Struthio camelus: one gene and its partner. The protein of the gene in region 2 interacts with the protein of the main gene of each other region in a biochemical or structural test. Links are inferred from orthologs where the notes say so. Each region holds a gene or a part of one and is shown on either strand. Other genes may lie near its edges.

What was found.
Region 1: the proteins of BLNK (region 2) and CD79A form a complex in vitro, tested with the Homo sapiens proteins (2 studies listed by BioGRID). The link is inferred for Struthio camelus from reciprocal best matches to the Homo sapiens genes BLNK and CD79A.

Annotation. Positions count from the first base shown.
Region 1 is NC_090980.1:232,607-243,793, forward strand, and holds CD79A (B-cell antigen receptor complex-associated protein alpha chain), read right to left. Parts: upstream 4,225-11,187; 5' UTR 4,131-4,224; coding exon 4,070-4,130; intron 3,663-4,069; coding exon 3,189-3,662; intron 3,094-3,188; coding exon 2,975-3,093; intron 2,064-2,974; coding exon 1,995-2,063; intron 1,905-1,994; coding exon 1,791-1,904; 3' UTR 1,459-1,790; downstream 1-1,458. Other genes in the region: ARHGEF1 (rho guanine nucleotide exchange factor 1), read left to right, coding at 6,496-6,985, 7,252-7,438, 8,011-8,089, 8,280-8,363, 8,444-8,557, 8,876-8,974, 9,084-9,126, 9,752-9,857 and 3 more. UniProt on the Homo sapiens protein: Required in cooperation with CD79B for initiation of the signal transduction cascade activated by binding of antigen to the B-cell antigen receptor complex (BCR) which leads to internalization of the complex, trafficking to late endosomes and antigen presentation.
Region 2 is NC_090948.1:18,433,569-18,444,025, reverse strand, and holds the start of BLNK (B-cell linker protein), read right to left. Parts: upstream 4,237-10,457; 5' UTR 4,154-4,236; coding exon 4,079-4,153; intron 1-4,078. UniProt on the Homo sapiens protein: Functions as a central linker protein, downstream of the B-cell receptor (BCR), bridging the SYK kinase to a multitude of signaling pathways and regulating biological outcomes of B-cell function and development.

The DNA of each region.
Region 1 (11,187 bases), on a different chromosome or scaffold from region 2:
AGAGAAGCGCCCTTCCCGTGTTGCCCGGGAGGTGAAACCGGGCTGTCCCGCGCCCCCAGGCTGGGCTGGGAGTCGGGAAGGAGGCTGACACCTCGCCCGGGGCAGTTTGGGGCCGTGCGAAGGAGGGGTGACCGGGAGGACGGGGCAGCGGCCGCCCTTGGCCCGTGCGAGGAGCCCCCCCGGCTCTGCTTTCTGTCACAGCGCTGCCTTCCGCGGCCCGCAGAGGCCTGACAGGAAGCAGAGGAAGTTTCGTGCTCTTCAGCTCTCTCCTGCTCTGTGTTTATCTTCATAACAAATGTTTTATTAATATCCCCACATCGCTGTTTCTCCGAGCGTGTCTGGAAGACGGTGGCGGGGAGGGGCGGCACCGCGGGCTTGCCGAGGGAGGCGCGCGTTTGATCGTGGAAGGTGTTTGGGAGGAGGCAGCGGCGTCCTGGGGCGGGCGAGGAGTCCCGCCCCAACGCAGAGGGGCTCAGCTTTGGGGAGCCTCGTTCTAACACCGGCTCAGGCCCCCGGAAGCGGGATCGCCCTGCCGGCTCCCAACCGCCCGATTCCTCCCGGCCGGGGTGCGGGGCGGGAGCGCGACGCTCGTCCCGCGCGGCCTGCCGGCTGCACCTCGTGTGCTGTAACTGCCCCCGGGGCGGGGACAGGTACATCCATCTCGGTGGCGAGGAGCAATCGGGTCTAACTGGGGGAGGCGAGTCCCCGGCGCCCCTCTCGCAGGCGGTTTTTATCTTGGGGTGCGTTTCGGTGCGCGAAAACCCAGGAGCGGCTGGCACAGGCCTCCTCCCTCGGGCAAGGGGGAGAGAAACCATTTACCTTCGAGACCCAGGGCGCGGAAGCGCAAGCGGAGGAAGTGCCCTTTGCTCGTGACGATGGCCTTCACTAAAGCTCTGGCCCGTTTTGGCTCCCTGCGAAGTCATCCCAGTTTCCCGCAGAGTCACAGGGACGGGCTCGTCCCCGCAGACGCTCCAGCTGGGGCCTAAAACAGCCGGCGCCTTCGGTGGGCTAGAAAGAGGGGCGGCGCGGACTGGCAGCGCTCGCGGGGAAGGCGGCGGCGGCCCGCGGGCGCTGGTTCTGCTCTCCCCCGCGCAGCCCGCGCGCTCCGGGCGCACGGGGAGGCAGCAGCGGAAGCGGCGCTCCGCCACCGGTGGGTGAGTCCCCTCTCCCGGGGAGACGGAAGGGGCAGTCGGGGTGGGAGAGGAGGCGAGCTTTGCTTTGCTTTCTTCGTTTGGGGAGCGGCTGCTCCTCGTTCACTGCCGGCACGAAGGGGAAGGGGGAGGGACACGGAAACTCCTGCTGCGGCCCGCGGGGCGCTGCCGACCTGGAAAGTCTGAGACGCGCCGGCTCGAGGCAGGGCTGAGCGCGGCGGCCGGGAACAGAGCGGCTCTATTCCCGCACGCCCTCCCCCGGCCCCGTGCAGCCCCCTCCGTGTCGCACGGACTCCAGGACCCCCCGTCAGCAGCTCGTCAGCTTTATTCCTGGTCGAGCCGCCCGGCCAGCAGAGCACCTGGGGCCGGAGCCACAGTCAGGGGAGGGGAACGCCAAGGGAACCGCGTGGTTGAAGAGCGGAGCGAAGCCGTGGGGGACTCGAGCCAAAGGGGACGATAACGGGCGTCTGTCGCTGCCTGGTGCTGCCGGGAGCTGGCTGCGCCGGGCGCCGATCCCGGCGCCAAATTGCCCCCGTCTGTGGGAAGCCGGAGGGCGAGAAGAGGCCGGGGGGCTGGCGGGAGGCGGAAGGGGGTGACGCGCGGGCACGGCGGAAGGCCGGAGGCGAGGGCCCCGGCCCCTCACGGCTTCTCCAGCTGCGTGTCGCCGGCGCAGAGGCTGCCCACGTCCTGGTACGTGGGCTGCAGCCCCCGCGAGATGTCCTCGTACATGGAGCACTCGTCCAGGTTCAGCCCCTGGGGAGGCAAAGGGACGACGGGGTCAGCGAGGCCGCGGGGCTCGGCGGATACGGGGCGGGACGGCGCGCGCGCCGCCGGCGGGCTCACCTCGTAGAGGTTCTCCTCCTCGTAGGCGCTCTTCTTGAGCTGCAGCAGCCGCTCGTTCGCCCATCGCTTCTGCGGCGGCCGAAAGGGGCAGAGCTCAGGCCGGGGCTCGCGGCGCGCGGGGCATCCCGCCGGCGCCGGGCCGCCCCAGACCCACCGCCGCTGCCCCCAGACCCGTCGCCGCCGACCCCAGACCCACCGCCGCTGGCCCCAGACCCGCCACTGCCGCCCCCAGACCCGCCGTCGCCGCCCCAGACCCGCCGTCGCCGCCGACCCCAGACCCACCGCCGCTGCCCCCAGACCCGTCGCCGCCGACCCCAGACCCACCGCCGCTGGCCCCAGACCCGCCACTGCCACCCCCAGACCCGCCACTGCCGCCCCCAGACCCGCCGTCGCCGCCCCAGACCCACCGCCGCTGGCCCCAGACCCGCCACTGCCGCCCCCAGACCCGCCGTCGCCGCCCCAGACCTGTCGCCGCCGACCCCAGACCCACCGCCGCTGCCCCCAGACCCGTCGCCGCCGACCCCAGACCCACCGCCGCTGCCCCCAGACCTGTCGCCGCCGACCCCAGACCCACCGCTGCTGGCCCCAGACCCGCCGCCGCTGACCCCAGACCTGGCACTGCTGACCCAGACCCGCTGCTGCCGCCCCAGACCCACCGCCGCTGCCGCCCCAGACCCGCCACCGCTGCCCCCAGACCCGCCACCGCTGCCCCCAGACCCGCCACCACCGCCCCCAGACCCACCACCACCGCCCCCAGACCCGCCACCACTGACCCAGACCCGCCGCCGCCGACCCCAGACCCGCCACCGCTGCCCCCAGACCCACCACCGCTGCCCCCAGACCCGCCACCACCGACCCCAGACCCACCACCACCGCCCCCAGACCCGCCACCGCTGACCCCAGACCCGCCGCTGCCGCTGCCGCCGCATGCTCTCGGGGCGGGGGGTGGCCGGCGCCGCTCGGGCGCGCGGGGGGCTCACCCTAAAGAGGAGGAAGAGGCCGGGTCCCACGGCGCAGAGCAGGAGCAGGATGCCCTCCGCCATGATGATCCGGTTCTTAGTGGATTCCTTGATGTTCAGGAAGGGCACGGCCATCGGGTCTGCAAGGGGGCGCCGGGGGCGGCCGTCAGCTCGGCCCCGAGCCCCCCTCGCCCGCCGGAGGGGCCGGCCCACCCTCCCCGCGCCCCCCACTCACTGCGCACGCGCAGGTAGGTGCCGCACGACCGCCCGGCGGCCCAGCCGGCCTCCACCTTGCAGAAGTAGAGGCCGGCGTCTTGCTTGTCGACGTGGCGGAAGGTCAGGGTGACGCGGCCGGCTTCCAGCAAGAGGGAGCGGCCGCCGTAGCTGGTGTTGACGGGGGCGAAGGAGGCGCTGCAGTTCTTGTGGGGGCAGACGCGGTTCCAGGTCACCGTGGCGTCCTTGGGGGCCTTGAACACGCACTCCAGGCTGACGCGGTCGCCCACCGTGGCGGTGCGGGACGTGGGCCCGGCCTCCACCACCACGGAGCATCTGCCGGGGCAGCACCGGCCCGCCGCCACCGTCTGGTTGTTCTCCACCAGGATGGGGGTCAGGGCCAGGCGGGACGGGGGCGGCGGCGGCGGCAGGGAGAAGGGGCAGCTGCTGCCGTTGCAGGTCCGGTTGGCCGCGGCGGGCGCCAGCCAGAGGCACCCTGCGGGCAGAGCGCGGGGTGGGGGGGGCACCTCAGGGCCCGGCCAAGCTCGCCGGGAGGCGGCGGGGGGCCTCCCCGGCGCCAGCAGGGCCCCGGCCCCGCGCGCCCCCCGCCCCCAACCCCCCTGGGGCCGGTTTCGGTTCCTCTTTTCGGGCCGTGTTGACAGGAAGCAAAAGGGACGGGCTGGGGCCGACGCTATTCCGGGGTGCCCCGGGGGGGGCAGCGGCGGGGGGCCGGCGAGGGGGCCGCGGGGCCTTTCCCCTCGCGGCGCCCCGTTGCCCCCCGCCGCGGGCTCGCGGGCCGCCGGCTGCGCCCCAGCCCACCCGCGCCGTGGGGGCGAGCGTTTCGGGGCGGGCTGGCCCCCCCCCAACCACCCGCTCCGCGCCCCCCGCCCGGCCGGGCCCTACCTGAGAAGAGGCAGAGGACGAGGGGCAGCGGGGCGCCGCGCCGGCCGGCAGCACCCGCCATGTCGCGCCGGCGGCGTGGCACGGCGCGGCGGAGCGCAGCCCTGCGCGCCTGCTGCGGGCTCTCTGCGCCGGGCCCCGCGGCAGGAGATGCGCCCCGGCGCCCCGCGCCCGCCCCTGCCCGGCACCCGGGGGGCCGCGGGGCGCCTGCGCGGCGGGCCGCCTCCACGCCCCACCCCGAACGCCGGCCCAGCCCGGGGATGCCCTACCAGCCCCGCTCAGGGACGGGGACCCACGCGGGTCGCCCACCCCGGCTGCGCTCCGGGGGGTGGGGGCACCGGGGACGACTGCCCCGCCGTCCTCCTGTCGTGTCCTGTCGTGTCGTCGTGTTGCGTTGGGTTGTCGTGCCGTGTCGTTGTGTCGTGTCGTGTTGGGGTGTCGTGTTGGGTTGGGTTGTCGTGTCGTGTCGTTGTGTTGGGTTGTTGTGTCGTGTTGGGGTGTCGTGTTGGGTTGGGTTGTCGTGTCGTGTCGTTGTGTTGGGTTGTTGTGTCGTGTTGGGTTGTCGTGTTGCGTTGGGTTGTCGTGCCGTGTCGTTGTGTTGTGTTGTCGTGTCGTGTTGGGTTGTCGTGTCGTGTCGTTGCGTCGTGTTGTCGTGTCGTGTTGGGTTGTAATGTTGTGTCGTTGTGTTGGGTTGTTGGGTTGGGTTGGGTTGTCGTGCCGTGTTGTTGTGTCGTGTTGGGTTGTCGCGTTGGGTTGGGTTGTCGCGTCATGTCATCGCGTCATCGTGTCGCGTTGCATCGCGTCGTCGTATCACCATGTCGTCGTGTCGCGTCGCGTCGTCGTATCATCGTGTCGTGTTGTCACGTTGGGTTATCGTGTTGTGTTGTGTTATCATGTCGTGTCGTCGTGTCATGTCGTCGTGTCGTGTCGGTGTGTCGTCATGTCGTGTCATGTCGTGTCGTCGTATCGTCATGTCGTGTCGTCATGTCATGTTGTCGTGTCATGTGTTGTCGTGTCTTCTTGTCGTGTCGTGTCGTATCGTGTCATCGTGTTGTGTCGTGTCGTGTCGTGTCGTGTTGTCGTGTCGTGTTGTCGTGTCGTGTCGTGTTGTGTCGTGTCGTGTTGTGTCGTGTCGTGTCGTGTCGTGTCGTGTCGTGTTGTCGTGTCGTCTCGCGTCGTTGTGTTGTGTCGTGTCACGTCGTGTCATGTCGCGTCGCGTCGTGTCGCGGCGGCACGCGGGAGATGTGGGACCTGGGGGTGTGCGAGCAGGGACAGCGGGGCCGGGGGCGCTGGGGGCGCAGGGACCCCCGGGGCAGCGATGCCCAGGGGTGCTGGGGGTGCGGGGGAGCGATGCCCGGGGCGCTGGGGGCGCAGGGACCCCCGGGGTAGCGGGGCTGGGGCGCTGGGGGTGCAGGGACCCCCGGGGGCAGCGATGCCCAGGGGTGCTGGGGGTGCTGGGGGGTGATGCCCAGGGGTGCTGGGGGTGCGGGGGAGCGACCCCCGGGGCGCTGGGGGCGCTGGGGGCGCTGAGGGGCAGCGGGCCGGGACTCCGCGGCCCCGGGCGGCAGGAGGCGGTTCCCGGCCTCGCTCCTCCCGCAGGAAGCGCCGAGAGGAGCGGACGGCCCGGACCGGCCGCAACCGGCAGCGGGTTCCCGCTCCCCCGCTCCCCCGCTCCCCCGGCCCGGCCCGACCCGACCCGGTGAGTGTGCCGAGCCGAGCCGAGCCGAGCCGAGCCGAGCCGGACCGGGCCGGGCCGAGCCGAGCCGAGCCGAGCCGGGCGGAAGTGACCGTTTCCTGCCTCCGGTTCTGGCGTCGTGTCGGTCCGGCAGCGGCTGCGGCAGCCGAACGGCGCCGTGGGGAGGCGGCGGGAGGGTGTGTGGGGGGCCGGGGGTGCCTGTGGGGCCGGGGGTTATGTGGGGCCAGGGGACGCGTGTAGGGCTGGAGTGTACGTGAGGCCAGGGGACGCGCGTGGGGCCGGGAGCTATTCAGCCACGGGAGCTGTGTGGGGCTGGAGTGTACATGGGGCCGGGGGATGTGTGTGGGGCTGGGGTTATGTGGGGCCAGGGGACGCGTGTGGGGCTGGGGGTTATGTGGGACCAGGGGATGCGTGTACATGGGGCCAGGGGGTTCCTGTGGGGCCAGGGGATGCGTGTGGGGCTGGGGTGTACATGGGGCCAGGGGGTTCCTGTGGGGCTGGGGTTATGTGGGGCCGGGGGATGTGTGTGGGGCTGGGGTTATGTGGGGCCGGGGGATGCGTGTGGGGCTGGGGTTATGTGGGGCCGGGGGATGTGTGTGGGGCCGGGGGATGCGTGTGGGGCTGGGGTTGTGTGGGGCTGGGGTTATGTGGGGCCAGGGGACGCGTGTAGGGCTGGAGCGTACATGAGGCCAGGGGACGCGTGTGGGGCCACGGGAGCTGTGTGGGGCAGGAGATGCGCGGGGGGCCAGGGGCAGCCGTGCATGTGGGGCAGGGCTCTGCTAGGCCGGGGCCGTGGGGAGACGCGTGCGCGGGGGGCAGCTGGGCGGCTCCGTACAGGGTGGAGGCCGCGTCGGAGGGGCGCGAGGGGCGCCCGGCCGTGGGGCGCCCCACTGCCAGGGCTATGGGGCTGCCCCCACGGTGGAGGCGGGGTGTCCCCTGCCCCGGGGGGGGGCACCGCCTCTCGCCCCTCCCCGGCATCGCCGCCCCTCCCGGCGGCCCTGCCATGCCAGGAATCCCGGAGGCATTTGGGGCCTCGGTGACACCCGTGGCGTGTGTGTCCCCCCCCCGGTGTCCCCCACGCGCCCGGGGGGCGCCCCGCTCCCCGGCAGGGCCGGCCCCCCCCCGCGGCCCGCTCCGGACAGCTGGAGCCTGGACACCGTCCAACGGGGACAGGGCAGCGGCCGAGGGCGCTGCCAAGCGGGCGGCGGGGCTGTGGGGCAGAGGTGAGGGGCGCCGGGGGGCAGCGCCGCCGCCGGGGATGGGGGGGGCTCGGGGGGCCCTGGGGCCGCCGCGGGGCAGAGCCCGCCCCGGTGGGGGGCCGCGGGGCAGGACCGGGGGGCCCTGCCAGCGCGGGGGCTGCGGGGCAGGTGGGGGGCCGCGGGCCGCGCCGTGGGGCGGGGGGAGGCTGGTGCCGTCGCGTTGCACATCACTTCCTGCAGGAAGCCTTGCTCTCTCCGTAAATAATCTGGGGGCCGTTGCTTTGTTTTAGAGCCCGAGGAGCCGCCTTTCCGCTGCGGGGCGACGGGGAGGGGGCGCCCCGAGGAGCCCAGGTGTCCGGGTCCTGCCCCCCCCCCCCAAACTTCTTGGGGCCGTACTCCGCCCCCCCCCCCGACGGGCAGGGGTTGCCACATTTCCTGCCCGTCGGACCCGTGCCACCGGCGCCCGCTCGGCAAGAGGTAGGTAGAGGGGCCGCGGGGGGTGGAGCGCGCGGGGAGCAGCCCTGGACCGGCCCCGGAAGGCGCCGAGCCCCCGCACGGCGCGCACCTGCGCCCCCCGCCCCGCCGAGGGGGGCGTCCGAGCGGGCAGGAGCGCGGGCCGCGGCTCCTGGGGGGCGCGGGGAGAGGGTGGGCCGGGGCGGGCGCGCGTGGGTGGGGTGGGGTGGGTGGGGCGGGCAGGGCCCCCCCCCTTTCCCCCCCCGCCGCCACCGCCGGGCTCTCAATGGGGCTCTTTGTGCCGCACAGAGCCCCATTGACGGCCCGGCGCCACCCCCACCCCGAACGTCGGAGCCGGGGGGGGGGGGGGCGGGGAGAGCCCGGCTGCGGGGAGCGCGTCCGGCCGCGCGCCCCCGCCCCTCGCCCGCGCGCGCCCCCGCACCGCGCGCCCGTATCCTGCTCGCCGAGAGGGATGGGCCCCCGCGGCTTCCTGCGCCGCCGTTGGAGGGGGCGCCCTCGGGCTCGAGACCCAGCAAACTCGTCTCGGTCCCCGGGCTCGGGGCCCGTCTCCCCATGACCCCCTCTCTCCCCGCCAGGCGCGACCCCCCGAGCCGGCCGACGGGGCCCCCCCCGCTCCCCGGGGGCAGCATGGAGCCCGAGGAGGCGTTTAACGGGGTGAGTGCGGGTGCTGGTGCTGGTGGGGGGGTGACGGGGCTCCCCCGCCGCCGCGACCCGGGCGGATTTCCGGGGCGGAGAGGCGCCCTGCGAGGCTGTTTGCGCTCGGGGGCGCCCCGGAAAGCCGCCCCCCCCCCCCCGCCCCGACCCCGTTTCTCCCCGCTGCCCCCGACACCGCGTCTCTCCCCAGAGCCCGGCGGCGGGTGCTCGCGGCGGGTCCGTCGTGGCCATCATCGGCGCCGAGGATGAGGACTTTGAGAACGACATCGAGCCGGTGAGCGGGCGCCCGCGGGAGGGCGCCGGGGGTGAGGGGGGGCCCCGCAGGAGCCTCACTCTGCCCCCCCCACCCCGCAGAACCCCGACGACCAGAACAGCATGTTCCAGAGCCTGGAGCTGGTCCGGCAGCACCCGGCCTATCTCATGGCCTTCCTGCAGCACGTCGTCCTGCAGTTCGACTCCTGCCCCGTGGTGAGCGCCGCCGGGGGCGGCTCGCGGGCCGGGGGGGCGGGGGGGGGCCGCACAGGGACCCAGGCCGGCGCCTGGGCTTGCAGAGGGCCCCCTACCAGCGTGCGAAAGCCCCCCGGGGGGTGCGCGCGCGTAAGCGGCTGCGCGGCGCGTCCCCTTGAATAACCTCTTCTCTCTGTTCCCCCCTCCCTGCTGGCAGGGGCTGGAGCTGAGGTAATACCCTGGGGGGCTCGGGGGGGGCGCGGGGTGCAGGGGGGGCGCAGGAGGGGTGCAGGGGGGGCAGGGGGCCCTGCCGTCAGCCTGTGCACGCCCCCCCCCCAGCTCTGCTACCTGCACGTGGACATGCTGCGCAAGATGAACCCCAAGGAGGGCAAGAAGCAGTTCCTCGAGTTCTGCCACTTGTTCCTGGACAAGGCCGGGGTGAGTGACGCCCCCAGCCCCTCTGCGCCCCACGGCTCCCCCTCCCGCGGGGCTTTCAGAGGGGTGCGGCGCCCCCCCGCCGCCCCTCGCTGACCCCCCTCTCTCGCAGCTCCTGCGGGTGCCTGTCCCCCACCAGGTGCAGTTCGAACTGGGTGAGTTAACTCCCCCCCCACCCCAGCGCGGGGGTTTAGGGACGCGACTCAGCCCCTCGGCTTCGCTCCCAAACCCACGCCTGCACCCCACGGCGCGCCCCGTCCCCCCTCGGCTCCCCCCGCTGCACCCCACGGCGCAACCCCAGCCCCCCGGCACCCGCTGCTCGCTGTCCCGGCCTGGGCCCTTCCTCCTCCAGCCGCACCCAGCTGGCCGCGGCTGGCGAGAAAGGCCGGAAGCGCCTGGGAAGCCCCGGCCAGGGTGAGCTCATGGGGCTGCGGCTGGGAGGGGGGGTCGGGGGGGGGGACAACGTGACGCAGCTGCATGGCACCATCTCCCGGTGCTCGGGGACGCTGCAGGCGGCCCCCAAACGCTGCCCTGCGCGCTCCGGCGCCGCTTCCCCAGGGCCCCCTCGCCTGCGCCCCTCTCCCTCCCGCCCAAGTCCTGCTGCGTCCCCCGCAGGGGCCTGGGAAGAGCCCCCGACGCCCCGGCGGGGCACGGGGCGCCCCGAACCCGTCCCACCCCGCGGGCGCCCCGCGCTCTGCCCTGAACGGGGGCCCGGGCTGGCGCGGGCCGGGCTGCCTGGGGGCGCAGCCGGAGGCAGCTCGCGGCCCCCTTGCCCCGCAGACCGCACGCGCCCCGAGCTGCTGGCGGACGACGTGCAGCGCCGGTACCTGCAGGAAATCCAGGCCTTCCAGGAGCCCGAGATCTCCCGGCAGCTGGAGGACTTCAGGTGGGAGGAGGCCGGGGGCCGCGGCACGGGGGCGGCAGGCGCGTCCCGCCGGCGCTGACGCCCCGTCCCCCAGGTCCAAGCGCCTGATGGGCATGACGCCGGGGGAGCAGGAGCTGACCGAGCTGGAGTCCTACCAGACCCGGGACGTCGGCATCCGGGAGGCCAAGGAGAAGCAGCTGGCGGAGGTGCTGCTGGCTCGGCTGGAGGAGATGCAGTGAGTGGGACGCCTCGGGGACAGGCGCGTGGGCGGGCGGGCGGGCGCGCGCTCCCCCGCGGCCGGCACCCCCGGCGCCGGCGCAGCCGCGCGCGGTTCGGGGCCGTGGGGGGGCCCTCGTCGGCCCCCTCTGCAGCGGAGGTGGGCGCTGCGGTTCGGCTGCCGCGGTGCCGCCGCCGCGTGCCTTTTGCGCGTGCGCCGACTCTTTCCCAAGCTCTTTACCCCCGCGGCCCAGCCGGAGACCCCCCCCCCCAGCTGGGCACAAGCCCCCCGCCGCCCCCTCCGCCTCCCGGCTGCCTGGCAGCCCCCTTCCTCCTCCGCGCGGCCCCAGCGCATCTGGCGCCCCTCCCCTGCCGGGCGCCCGTCCCAGAAGCGCAGATCGGAGCCAGCTGCGGCGGCCCGGGAGGGGAAGACACCCCCTTTCCGCCTTCCTCCCCCCTTTTCCTGGGTATTGCTGACGATTGCATCAGCCCCGGCGCGGTATAAACCCCCCGTCCCCCCCCTCCAGCCCAGTCTGTCCCAGCCGCTCCGTCCCAGCACACACGCACGCCTGCTCACCAGAACATGCTCCAGCGCCCGGCACCGACACCGACGGGCAGATATGGGGCTGGCATACCGGTGAGGGGGCCGCCGGAGGAGCCCCTGGCCGCGGCGGGGGGGCCCGGCGCCGGGGCGCAGCCGGGTGGGGGGAGCGCGGCGGGGGTCGGGGCTCTCCGGACGCCTGGGCTCACGGCGCGCTGCTGCTTCTTGTTTTCCCAGCCTCACGATATCTTCCGACGAGGAAAAAAGGTGAGAAAAGCGGGCGGGCGTTCGGGGGCGCCTCGGGGCGGGGGGCTCTAGCGACCCGTGGGGGTCTTTGGGGATGCGGGGGGGGCGTGTGCTCCTGGGGTGCTCTGAGGATGCCGGGGCTGCATGGGGGCGTTTTGGGGGCCGTCTGAAGGTGCCGCGGCTGTTGGAGCGGGGAGGGGAGGAGGAAGCGTTCGCAGCCCCGCGGGGCCGAGGCGGCAGCGGTCGAAGGGGCGCCCTGAGCCCTGCCGAGCCCTGCCCGCCCCGGCTTCCCTCGCCTGCCCCCTCAGCCTCTCTCTTCCCCCGTCCCAGCTCTGCCATCTTTGGTGC
Region 2 (10,457 bases):
GCTCTGCCATCACTCCAGGAAATGCTACATCGCTGCTTGCTCTGGAAACTGAAGGCCAGATAAGAGAGAGACTGATTTTTACATGCGTGTTCACCAACTCTGCTTTGGCTGCTGTTTGATTTCTAGAAGCAGATGTTCTGGCTAGGTGCATCTGTGGTATGAGAGCATGGGATAGGCCTTCAGTTATCATGACAGATGGGCATTGCTAGAAAGTGATTTGTATTCAGAAACAGGATCTCTTCTCAGTAACATGACTTTTTTTTCCCCTAAGCAAGTTGTTGTTGATTATAAAGTAAAATGAAATAAGAACGCCCAGAAGTAGTATCTCCTTATCTCAGAAACTAAATAGTAACTGAGAAAAAAGTAGATACATTGGATTTCCTTGATTAAAAAAAAAAGTAGTAAGGAATAGAATTGGGCTGAAAAAGTCCTAGAAGTCTCATTGATTGCTGTGTTATATACTTTAGCCTGGCTTTTCAAAGAAATTGCACTGTTACACACAAAGTAGAAAGAAAATCTATAACTCTTTTCATTAAGGATGTGCAGCTCTTGAAATGAGTTTCAGTATTTGTAATACTTAAAGTATTCAGTCTATCTGTTTCAGCTCCACTAACAAAGTGAACTTTAAAACCAGATCCTATACATTCATTTCATTAGTTCAGACGTGAGCCACGGAGCTCTGGAAAACTGTTAAACGTATGATCTTGATGCTCAGAAAGAAGGCAGATGTCTGCTTCCCATAGGTGTGCAAGATCTCCCTGCAGTTTATAAGAAGCTTACAGTGAGCATCCAGGTTTTTCCAGGATTGGATCAGTGACAGTTTAAATGCTTGTTTGTTCTAAGCAAGTACATTTAGAATTTAAAACAAATTGTTACATTCTGGAGTACAAAACATAGGGAAAACGTTACATTTGTCACACATTTATCAGTCCTTGCTGACTGTCCCCTATATTATAGATGTAAATTTCTGTAGCAGTAATGACTAACACAGAGACTAACAGAGGGCCATTAGTGAAAATAAATTCTTCTCATAGAAATAGTTATATGGTCTTTCTAAGGTAATTCTTTATTTCTAGAATACTTTCCTTAAAACTGTTTGCCCTTAGAAATGTTCAGAATAAAATATTTAATCTACTTATTTTGATCTAAGCAGAAAATTCTGAAGCATAAATCTGCTTGGTTTTTAATGTCAGGGTTTCTGAGCTATTCAGACAGTTTGTTTGGTCTATAAACTATTGTTTCTGCATCTGAGTTTGTAAATTGTTCTTTTATTCTATGATTGGGAGAGTGCTGATTGTTTACAGTGCAATTGTGGCTTCCAGATATGATCGCTGATCACATCACATGTGAGAGGGTTGCTGTGGGGAGTGTTAATTCGCCACTAGCACCATTGTACTGACACTGGAGGAAAGGAGAAGGATCGAGATAATGCATAGTTTCTGCTCTTTGCTTTTGCCCATCTATTTCCAATTATTGGCTCCAATGAGTTCCTTTTCTCTTTTGCTTTGTGTTATGCTGTTAATCAAGCATGCACCTTTTGTGTAAGGGAAAATTTGGTCTTTTTACATTGTTAGTTTGTTAAACAAGTAGATGACAAGCTGATGCCTCACTGTTTGTGTTTAGTGATGGTCACTGAACCATCACCATTTTATTTCCAATGTACTTCTAGAGGATGCAGTGTCAGTCAGAGCACATAAGCTGATGTGACTGTCATGAACTGCTGTTCAACATATCGCAGTCTGTTCAGTGCTCCCTGCTTTCTTTTGTACTATACGTTACTCAAACCTGGGGCCTGTTTACATATAAAATATATAAATATAATATATACACATACAGGGGTGTCATATATATCATATTCAGTAACCTGGCGTTTTTATCTTCTGAGCAGAGCTCCCACTGACTTTGGTTGCGATTCTCGGTTCTCACCACTTCTGCAAATCAGAGCCTGGGATTTCACATCAGGCACCTAGGCAACGGCAGGTTGCGTACAGGTGACTTGTAGTGCCCCAGGTGAGAGTGCTGTGCTGGGGCAGTGACAGCATCTGATACTTCAAGGCAGAAGTCAGCTGATGTTACTATGAGTTCATCCTCTCTTCCAGCAAGCCTTGGCCTTGTGCATCTTACAATTTCTGTATCAGCCCAGAGTAGTGCACAAAACATAAGGCTTTTTGCATGGAAAGAAGCAGGTTTTTGGGAACAGGAAAAGCAGTGCATGAAGAAGCAGTTACAGACTGTTGTAATATGTAAAAGGAGGTGAAGTCTGGTTATAGAGGTAAACCCTGTCCTGGCACTCTTAACATCCAAGTACTTCATCCTGCAACCTTACTGCTTAATGCTGTTATTTTATGGTTTGTGTGTGTGTGTGTGCGCCCTGTCTTTGGGGCATGATGCTTGCATCTGCGGGTACATAGGCTGACTGCAGAGCTGATGGTAGTACCCAGTGGTCAGGTCATGCTCCTTATGGGTCGCTGCTACTGGAAGCTGACTAGCACTATGCAAGCTGGCCAGAGGTGAGCTGGGGCTGAACGGCTGCCAGCACCGTGCCTTGACGCACAGAGCGGCCAAACACTAAATGTTGGTTATGCTGTAGCTGTCCTATCACTTAGCTATTTTAATCAGTGGTGTAAGCATAGGTACAAGCATTAACAACTTGATGTACACATGGAAGAGTAAGGTCCTAACACTTCTCTTACAGAGCATGAACTCAGTAGCTAACAGCTTGCCTGCTGAAGTTTTCCTGGAAGTTTCAGTTGTTGAACAACTGTCGTTAGTTTTCAGTTTTGTAGTCTGGTGTAGAATTGCAGGGGACTTTGATGTTTTTACATCTTCTGTTAATCTGATTTCCTTTAAGATGAAAGGTTTTGAGCTGATTAATTACCACAACTTTTCGTGCTAATAATGAAGTTCACAGCGTAATCATAATGTATCAGCTAAGCTATGTATTAACTGTGTGGAACAAGTTAGCTTTTTCAGCCTAGCAACTGTGGTCTGCCTGTGATCCATCTGCATTGTAAAACTTTTTTTTTAATTACACATGCATGAGAATAGGGTATTCACACAATGCAAAAGTGCAAAAATAAGTCATACAGGAGCATTTTAAATTTTGTCCTGCTTATGTGGTTATAAATGGAACTATTATAGAAACATCTCATAATGCTCTACTTCTTCCTCAAAAAAATGGCATGCTCCTTCAATTAAAAAGGATGAGAAACCTTGATAGCAGACTAAGTTCTCATGGTTGGTGTAAAGCAGGCACTCTCAAAGACTGTGTACCAAAGTTAGAAGTAGAATGCACACAGGTCAGAAAAATCCTAGATGTAAAGTCATAGTGAGAAACTTGCACTGAAAAAACAAACAAACGTAAAAGGAGGTTATATATAGCTCATACAGGTAAGCTGCAGTAAAACCTGACTTATAATGTTCAGTATGTTACATGGAAAAATCTGATTTAAAAAAAACATCTTGGAGGAGAGATTATTCAAGTAGTGAAGGGATAACTGCAGACAGGTCTGGAGTGTTTTGTGCACTTCAGGTTACCTACATAGACTTTGCATTGCAGACATTGTAGAAGTAGGAAAGGTACAAGAAGACAAAGGAATCATTTAAAAAAGCAAAACTTCAGGTACCTTAAGCTTAAGACTACATCTAGAAACTACTGTAGGTACATGCATGTTGAAAAAAAGATGAAAAGTAGATTGTTGTTGACAAACTGTAAATTTTAAAGTAATGTTCAAATAAAAAAAATTATGCCTGCTTCCAATGAAATGGTTATTTCTTCCCAGAAAGAAAGTATGGCCTCAACTATCTTTTCTATTCTAAGAAATATTCTTGGGAGCAAACTTTTTTGTACAATTTACCATGAAGGAGATCTTAGCTAGCAGAACTAAATTTCTGTAAAAGCTGGGAGAACACCAAGAAACTCACAGATTATTAATACAAATGAGTTCTTGGAGGTGGCAACTGCTGTCTAATCTATCTTAAGATAGATATCTGCAGTTTTTACAAAGATAAATTCAGAAAGAGATTTGCTAGCTGAATATAGAAGAACTGTTGTGAGTGTTGCATATACATTCAGTACCTGTCTTAGGAGATCTGCAACTTGAAATGCTGTCCAGTTCTCGCATTCCTCTTGAGATGGTAGTTTTGTAGCCATGTTGCTATCCAGTGAGAAAGGCTTGATCTATATGAATAACACTGAACCGCTGCTTCACTGGTTTTTACTCAGCTGCTGTAGAAATCCTAAGAGGAAGTCCTTTTGCAACTTTTTTCCTGTTTGTGCAGTTAAAGTGCACGCCTTTTTAAAAGTAGCTTAAGAAGTACTGATATTCTTGTGTGAGCGATCCTTTTTGAGTCTAAGGAATCTGTAAGTGTTCTTTTATATTAAGATATGCAAATATCACTCATTAATGAAGTTTACTAAGAGTTCTGCTGAAAACCAATGTATAAAATATTTGAGTCATCAACGTCTGATTTATTTACAGGTGCAACTAAGGTGTGACTATTTTTCATATCTATTATAAAACCTGCTAATGGCAGCTAACTTGGCTTGCTTACCTCGAACTCCCTTGCAGTTGCTTGGATCCTTTTTCAGACCACATTTGACATGGCCCTTGGTTTTGACATGCTGAGCTATGGTGTTTACACAGAAGAAATAGAGCTTAGTTACAGAGCTCGTGCTTTCCTACAGTCACGTTAGTTAATGTCAGACTTCCGGTCAAGTCTGGGCATCATACTCTTGGGCTTAAAACTCAGTCATTTACTCAAGGGCAATGTATGTTCTAAAGAATTTTTTTTCTCTCAGGTTCTTAGTACTGTTAAAGAACAAATTCTTTCTGATACTCTGTTACCTTTTTAAAAAGCTAAGGCTGACCTAAAATGCATGTCCTGGGTCAGGCCAGAAGTTCATGTAGCCCAGTATCTTGTCTTCTGACTGCGGCCAGAAATGGGATGCCTAGGAAAGAGTATTGAAAGGGGCAAGCATGAAGTATATCCCTACACTCTTCCAGTCTCCAGCCATTTTGACCTGGGGGATGTCCTGGGCTGGATGTGGGTCTGTGTATGCGGGCAGGCATGTTATCCTCTATGGAGGGAGGTGTGCAATGCCCTGGGCCGACACAAAGCTGGGAAACACTCCCAGCAGCAGGAGAAGGAATGAATGCAGCAGTTTGGCTTGGATGGAGGCAAGATGAAGTAGCGCTGAAAAGGCTGAGTGGCACTTCTGTTCCCTTGCACCCTTGTCTCCATCCAGATGTCTCCTCTGAGCTGAATCCCCTGCCCTGCTCCTCATGGTCCCTATTCACCTCTAGCACAGAGCATGTTCCCAGTTTGAGATGAGCTGCATATGCATTTCTGAAAATGGAGAAGGGGTCACAGTACATATTCTGAAGTGGAGCAATGAGGGAAAGTTTGAGAGCCATTGCTTTATGCATTGGGCAACAAAATAGTCAAGACGCAGCTGCTGAAACAAAACCAGATTATTTTGCTCAGCAGTTCTGAGTCATCACGACAGGAGAAATAGGAAAGCTTCCATAAAAGGCTGGAGACCAACGAATCAATGTTCTGCTTTCCAATTAACTCTTCCTGTTTCATTTCCCAAAGCAAAATGGATTTTGGGCACGTTTTCAAAGTTAAAATGTCTCATCTGTCATCCTTCAAATTTTCCTGCATGTATTTTTGCTGTTAGAGTGACTGACAGGTCAGACTGTTGCCACTCTTAACTCTTTACTATGCCATGACTTTCCAGAACAATGAACTCGGCCAAACTCAAATCTTGGAATTTCAGATGCAGAACTAACACAATGCCCTTGCAACTTAAACTTTGCCTTCTCAGAACTGAAAATTATCTGAGTACCTGGTTGTGTGTATAAGAAATCATATGTTATATTTTGTAGCATTTGGTCATAAGTGGTTCCAAGGGGGCAACAGCTCTGGATGAGGGGAGGCAGCAATACCTTCTTCCAGTGTGCACAGAGGAAAGAGGTGCATGTATCCCAAAGGGATCTGTGTGCCTCGTTTCAGCACAGCAGCGATTGCATTAGTAGCATGTCCCTTATGTATGTATTATTGCCAGCGGCTGGCAGCAGCTGGGTGGGAGATGCCTGTGAGTTATAGCTTTGGCTGCTTGGGGAAAACAGCCAGGTAACAGACGCTATCAGGAGTGAAACGCGAGTACAGTGAAATTGCAATGCTATTATTTCTGTGATAGTGGCTGTGTTTGGTTCCTGAGCGGGTGTAAGCCGTTCCGATTCAGACACCTCGATGCCAGGTTAAGAGCGGTGCTCTGCGGGCGCTCTGCAGTGGGGCACGCGTTGCCAGAAGCACCGGCTCCCTTGCCCACCATGGCCTGTTAGGCCGGTAGCGTTGCTAGAAACCGCTGGGTGCCAGAAGCTGCTCCTTGCTGCCTGCCGCCCTCCACTGTTATGTTCATGCATAGCGTGGGAGCTGGGTCCGGCCCTGCCTGCGCATCCCCCTCGCTGCCGCGGCCTCCCTCCTCCCGGCGTGGGTGCTCAGTCACTGCTCTCCCCCGGGGGCTAACTTTTGGCTAAGTCTCCTACTGTTGCTTGGGTTGATGTTTCCTTAAATTTTGCATTCCTGGTTTTCGGGAGAGGGCCCTCCAGGGGATGACATGATGCAGCTAGTTGTCAAAGCAGGATGCAACTAGCAGGGGTCCCCGGCGCTGGGATTAGGGTTCACCTCCCTCTACTGAGTGAGACGCGTCGCCCTGGTAAGTCACGCTCAGCTCTGTGTTCCCGAGGTGGCTGAACCACGGGGGCTTTCATTTTGCTAGAAACTATTTACCTTTTGCTTTTCGGTCTGATTAGAGCATTGATCACAGTGACAAAATAATTAAACCCAGGGACATGGGGCTGCTCACCTGGGATCCTGCAGCTGGTCTCTGATACTGATATTTATGCTGGCTTCACCAGCGTTGTGGTTTTCTTTCCTCAAGTGTGTGCAACAAACTGACAGCTTGTTAGTGTGTGTTTCCTCTTGCTTTTCACTGCTTCCGGGGGGGGTATTTGAAGTATTCTTGCCTCTGAGGGCTCTGGTTTTGGTAATTAATTCTGCTTAGTACCCCTGTACTCCTGGTTATCCTGCACCAAAGATCATGGTAGTCTGAGTAAATATGTGCCCTCAAGCCCATGTTGGCTGTGGGGACGTGTGGGCTGCAGGTGGGGGGAGTCCATGTAGGGATGAAGATGCTGTTTCTTTGCAAATGGCCAGGCGCTGGCTGCTCCTGTTCGGCTGCGTTGCGGTGACTTGAGTGTGAACCAACACCAGCCCTGGGCAGGCTGTGCTTGTAGCTACTGAATATGCCCCTGAGCCTCTTGATCTGGCATGGAAACTGGCAGGTTAAACTGCTTGATGCGTTGAACCAGAAATGTTAACGGCTTTCATCCCTGCTGTTTACTTTTGCACTCTCCCCAAAAGTGGGGTTGGAGCTGGTGCTCTACCTCTAGTAGGGTAAATGTTAAACACCTGGAACAACTTTGGGGAAGACTCAAGCTGTGGAGCCCCCAGAGCTCTACAAAACTGATCTGTGTATATTAAGAAATTTAATTTTTCTGGAGCCCTTAGCAAAAAAGACATCTGATGCTGAGCCCTGTGTTGCTCTCCCTTGAGAAGCACCAAATATCAGGGGAATCTTAGTTAATGTGCATGTTTTAGACACCAGATAATTTGACCTTTACATAGAAAGGCATTCTCATACATAACTCCCAAACATAAAGCAGGATTAACACACCATTATGATATATGTTTGAACAAAATTATTTCCTACGGTTTGGAATGTGCAAGCCACATAAGAGACATGTTTTTACAGGCTACTGCTCCTTGGAGTTTCGTAAAGTGAGTCCTCAATTTGCAATTTCATAGAAATCATTAACGAGGAATACAGAAAATGGTTGCTAGATCATGCCATTAACATTTCTTACAAAATAGGGCTATATATTTTCATGAACAGAGCCACTAAATGTGTTAAACTTGCTTTAAAACTTTCAAGTCTAACTCTGCTTTGCAAAAAAAAGAAAAGGCAGCTGCACGTAACATTTTATTGGATATAACACTGGACTACTGCTCTCATTAGCAAAATATACTTGAGTAAAATCTGAGTTCTCTAAGGTATGACTTTATACAGAATATAATCCTTTGGCATTGCTATTTTTATGCAAAAATAACAAAAAGAACATGACTTACCATATACTCCTTGTTTTTCTTCTCCCAGGCGTGCATGTTGGAGTTGATTCCAAATAAGTTAAAGGAAGAGCTTCTCATGTCTGCTCTCGCCTCTTAAACCCTCCCATATGTTTTTTGTTGTTGTTAGTGTGATTGACAGGCCTGGCATTCATGGTGGGTGGGGAAAAAAACATTCTTAAAGTAAAAAACTAGAATAAAGTGTCATAGTCTGAATAAGTTCACAGAGGAAATTGGAGAATGAAGGCTTACTCACAGCTGTCTAGAAGCTTGAGAAAATGTTGCTAATCAGCTTTGTCTTCTCTCATTTAACAGGAAATCAAAATAACAGAAGCATAAAAACCATAGGGCCTGGAAGGGACCTCAGGAGACCTAGGCAGTAGAGAGGCAGGATCACATGTAACTAGAGCAAACTGGCTCTGTCTTGGAAGTCAGTTTGGTAACTCCTTTATTCTAACTGTAAGGTTTTGGGATAGTACCAGGCTGACCATATCCTAACGTGAGCACAGTAGGAGGAACAAATATAAATTCCGTGCTAGACTGTGGGAGAAAATGCCTGTTGGTAAGGATCATATTTGCAGCCTGGAGCTGGACCCTTGGAGATCGCTCTGATTGTGCTGCACTAGGACATCCTCAAAACGTTTGTCTAACCTGATCTTAAAACTTCCACTGAAGGTTTTTATAACATCTCTTATCCTGTCCCTGTGCATCACTGTCGTTATACGTTTTTCCATTTTCACTGTTAGGTAACAACTCTTTTTTTTCTCTGAAAATTAGTTTGGTTTCTTTGTTTCCCATGCCTGTTGAATCTGGTGAGCACCCACTGTACAGCACCTTTGGAGTATATATCTCTTTTACGTATCCATATATATCTTGAAATATATATAAACTTATATATAAATTTCCTGAGCAAACAAACCCAGTTTCTTCAGCTTTTCTTCCTAAGCAGTGATTTATAGAGCTTTTCTTAGTCTTTTTTGTTCTCATCACTCAAGTTTGGATACACCTTTATTGGAAGTTAGAGTGGCCAAACTGGTCCCCATATTATAGTCTTTATCCTGTGCAACTGGATAACCTATCTTGGTGATATCCATATATACTTTAGAAGTGCACTGTTTATTTCAGCATCTGTGTCGTTAACACAACGCTGAATACGATTAAGGCCGGAACAAATCTCTATGGGGCTCTACTTGAAATAACCTCTGAGTTTGAAATGGAACCACAAATATCTTCTCCGTGAGAGCTGGTTGAGCACTTACAGTATATGGTGCTTTATCACATTTCTGTAGCTTGCTTATGATAATTTTACATTAGGCCACAACAAAAGCCTTAGTGACCATATATCCTTCATGCTCCTAATCCCCTAGGCAGTTATCCTGTCAGGGAAGGAAATGAGTGATTTGACACAGTTGGAGTTCCTTCCTATTGTCGTATTAAACAATTTGTAAGCATATTGAGGATCATAATTTGCTGTAGAGTATTATCTGAGAACTGAAGTTGGTTTGACTGTTCTGTAGTTCCTTGTCCTCGTTCTCCCCTCATCTCGAAGGATGGATGTCTGCTCTTCTTCAGCTCCCTGCCTGGCCTCCAGTGTGTGCTGAATTCCTCATACCTGGAGTTCAAGGACTGCGATAGCTAGGTCTTCACCTAGTCTGTTTGCTGCTCTTCTCAGTGTTCTGGTCCACCTTAACCTAGGTAATAAATACTCTGATCCTTTCAAGTTGGTTCCTGTCCCTTATGGAAATTAAGCATCTGGTCACAATTTATCATCTTTTTGTAAAGACTGATTCAATACTTCAGTCTTCTGTTACTTATTCTCTTTTCCTACCTAGCAGTGGATCTATAATTCCCTCTGTTCTCCTCTTACTAATATTTCAAGAGCCAAAGAGATTTGAATGGACTTTGGGTGACCTTGAGTGAGGAAAGTGCAATGGGTGTTTGCAACAGCGCTCACAGGTAAGCACTGAGGAAGGAGTTTCTTCAAAAATTCCTGCAAAATATCATTGGGTATTTAAGACAGCTTAGCTTAAGCAGGATCTGGTGTGCACCTTTGTCTTTGAACTGCTGTTCACTTTTCAACATTTATTTTTTGGAAATTCTTACCAAAATTATAAAAATTATGCAACAAGAAGATAAGTGAAATCACTTCTTTCTATTCAGCAGTGCTGTATTGCTTAAAACTAACTCATGTTCTTACAGTAAGAAAAACGAATGCCAGTTAAACGGTATGCCAAATTCATAACTTTTGTAACGGTCTGACCTAT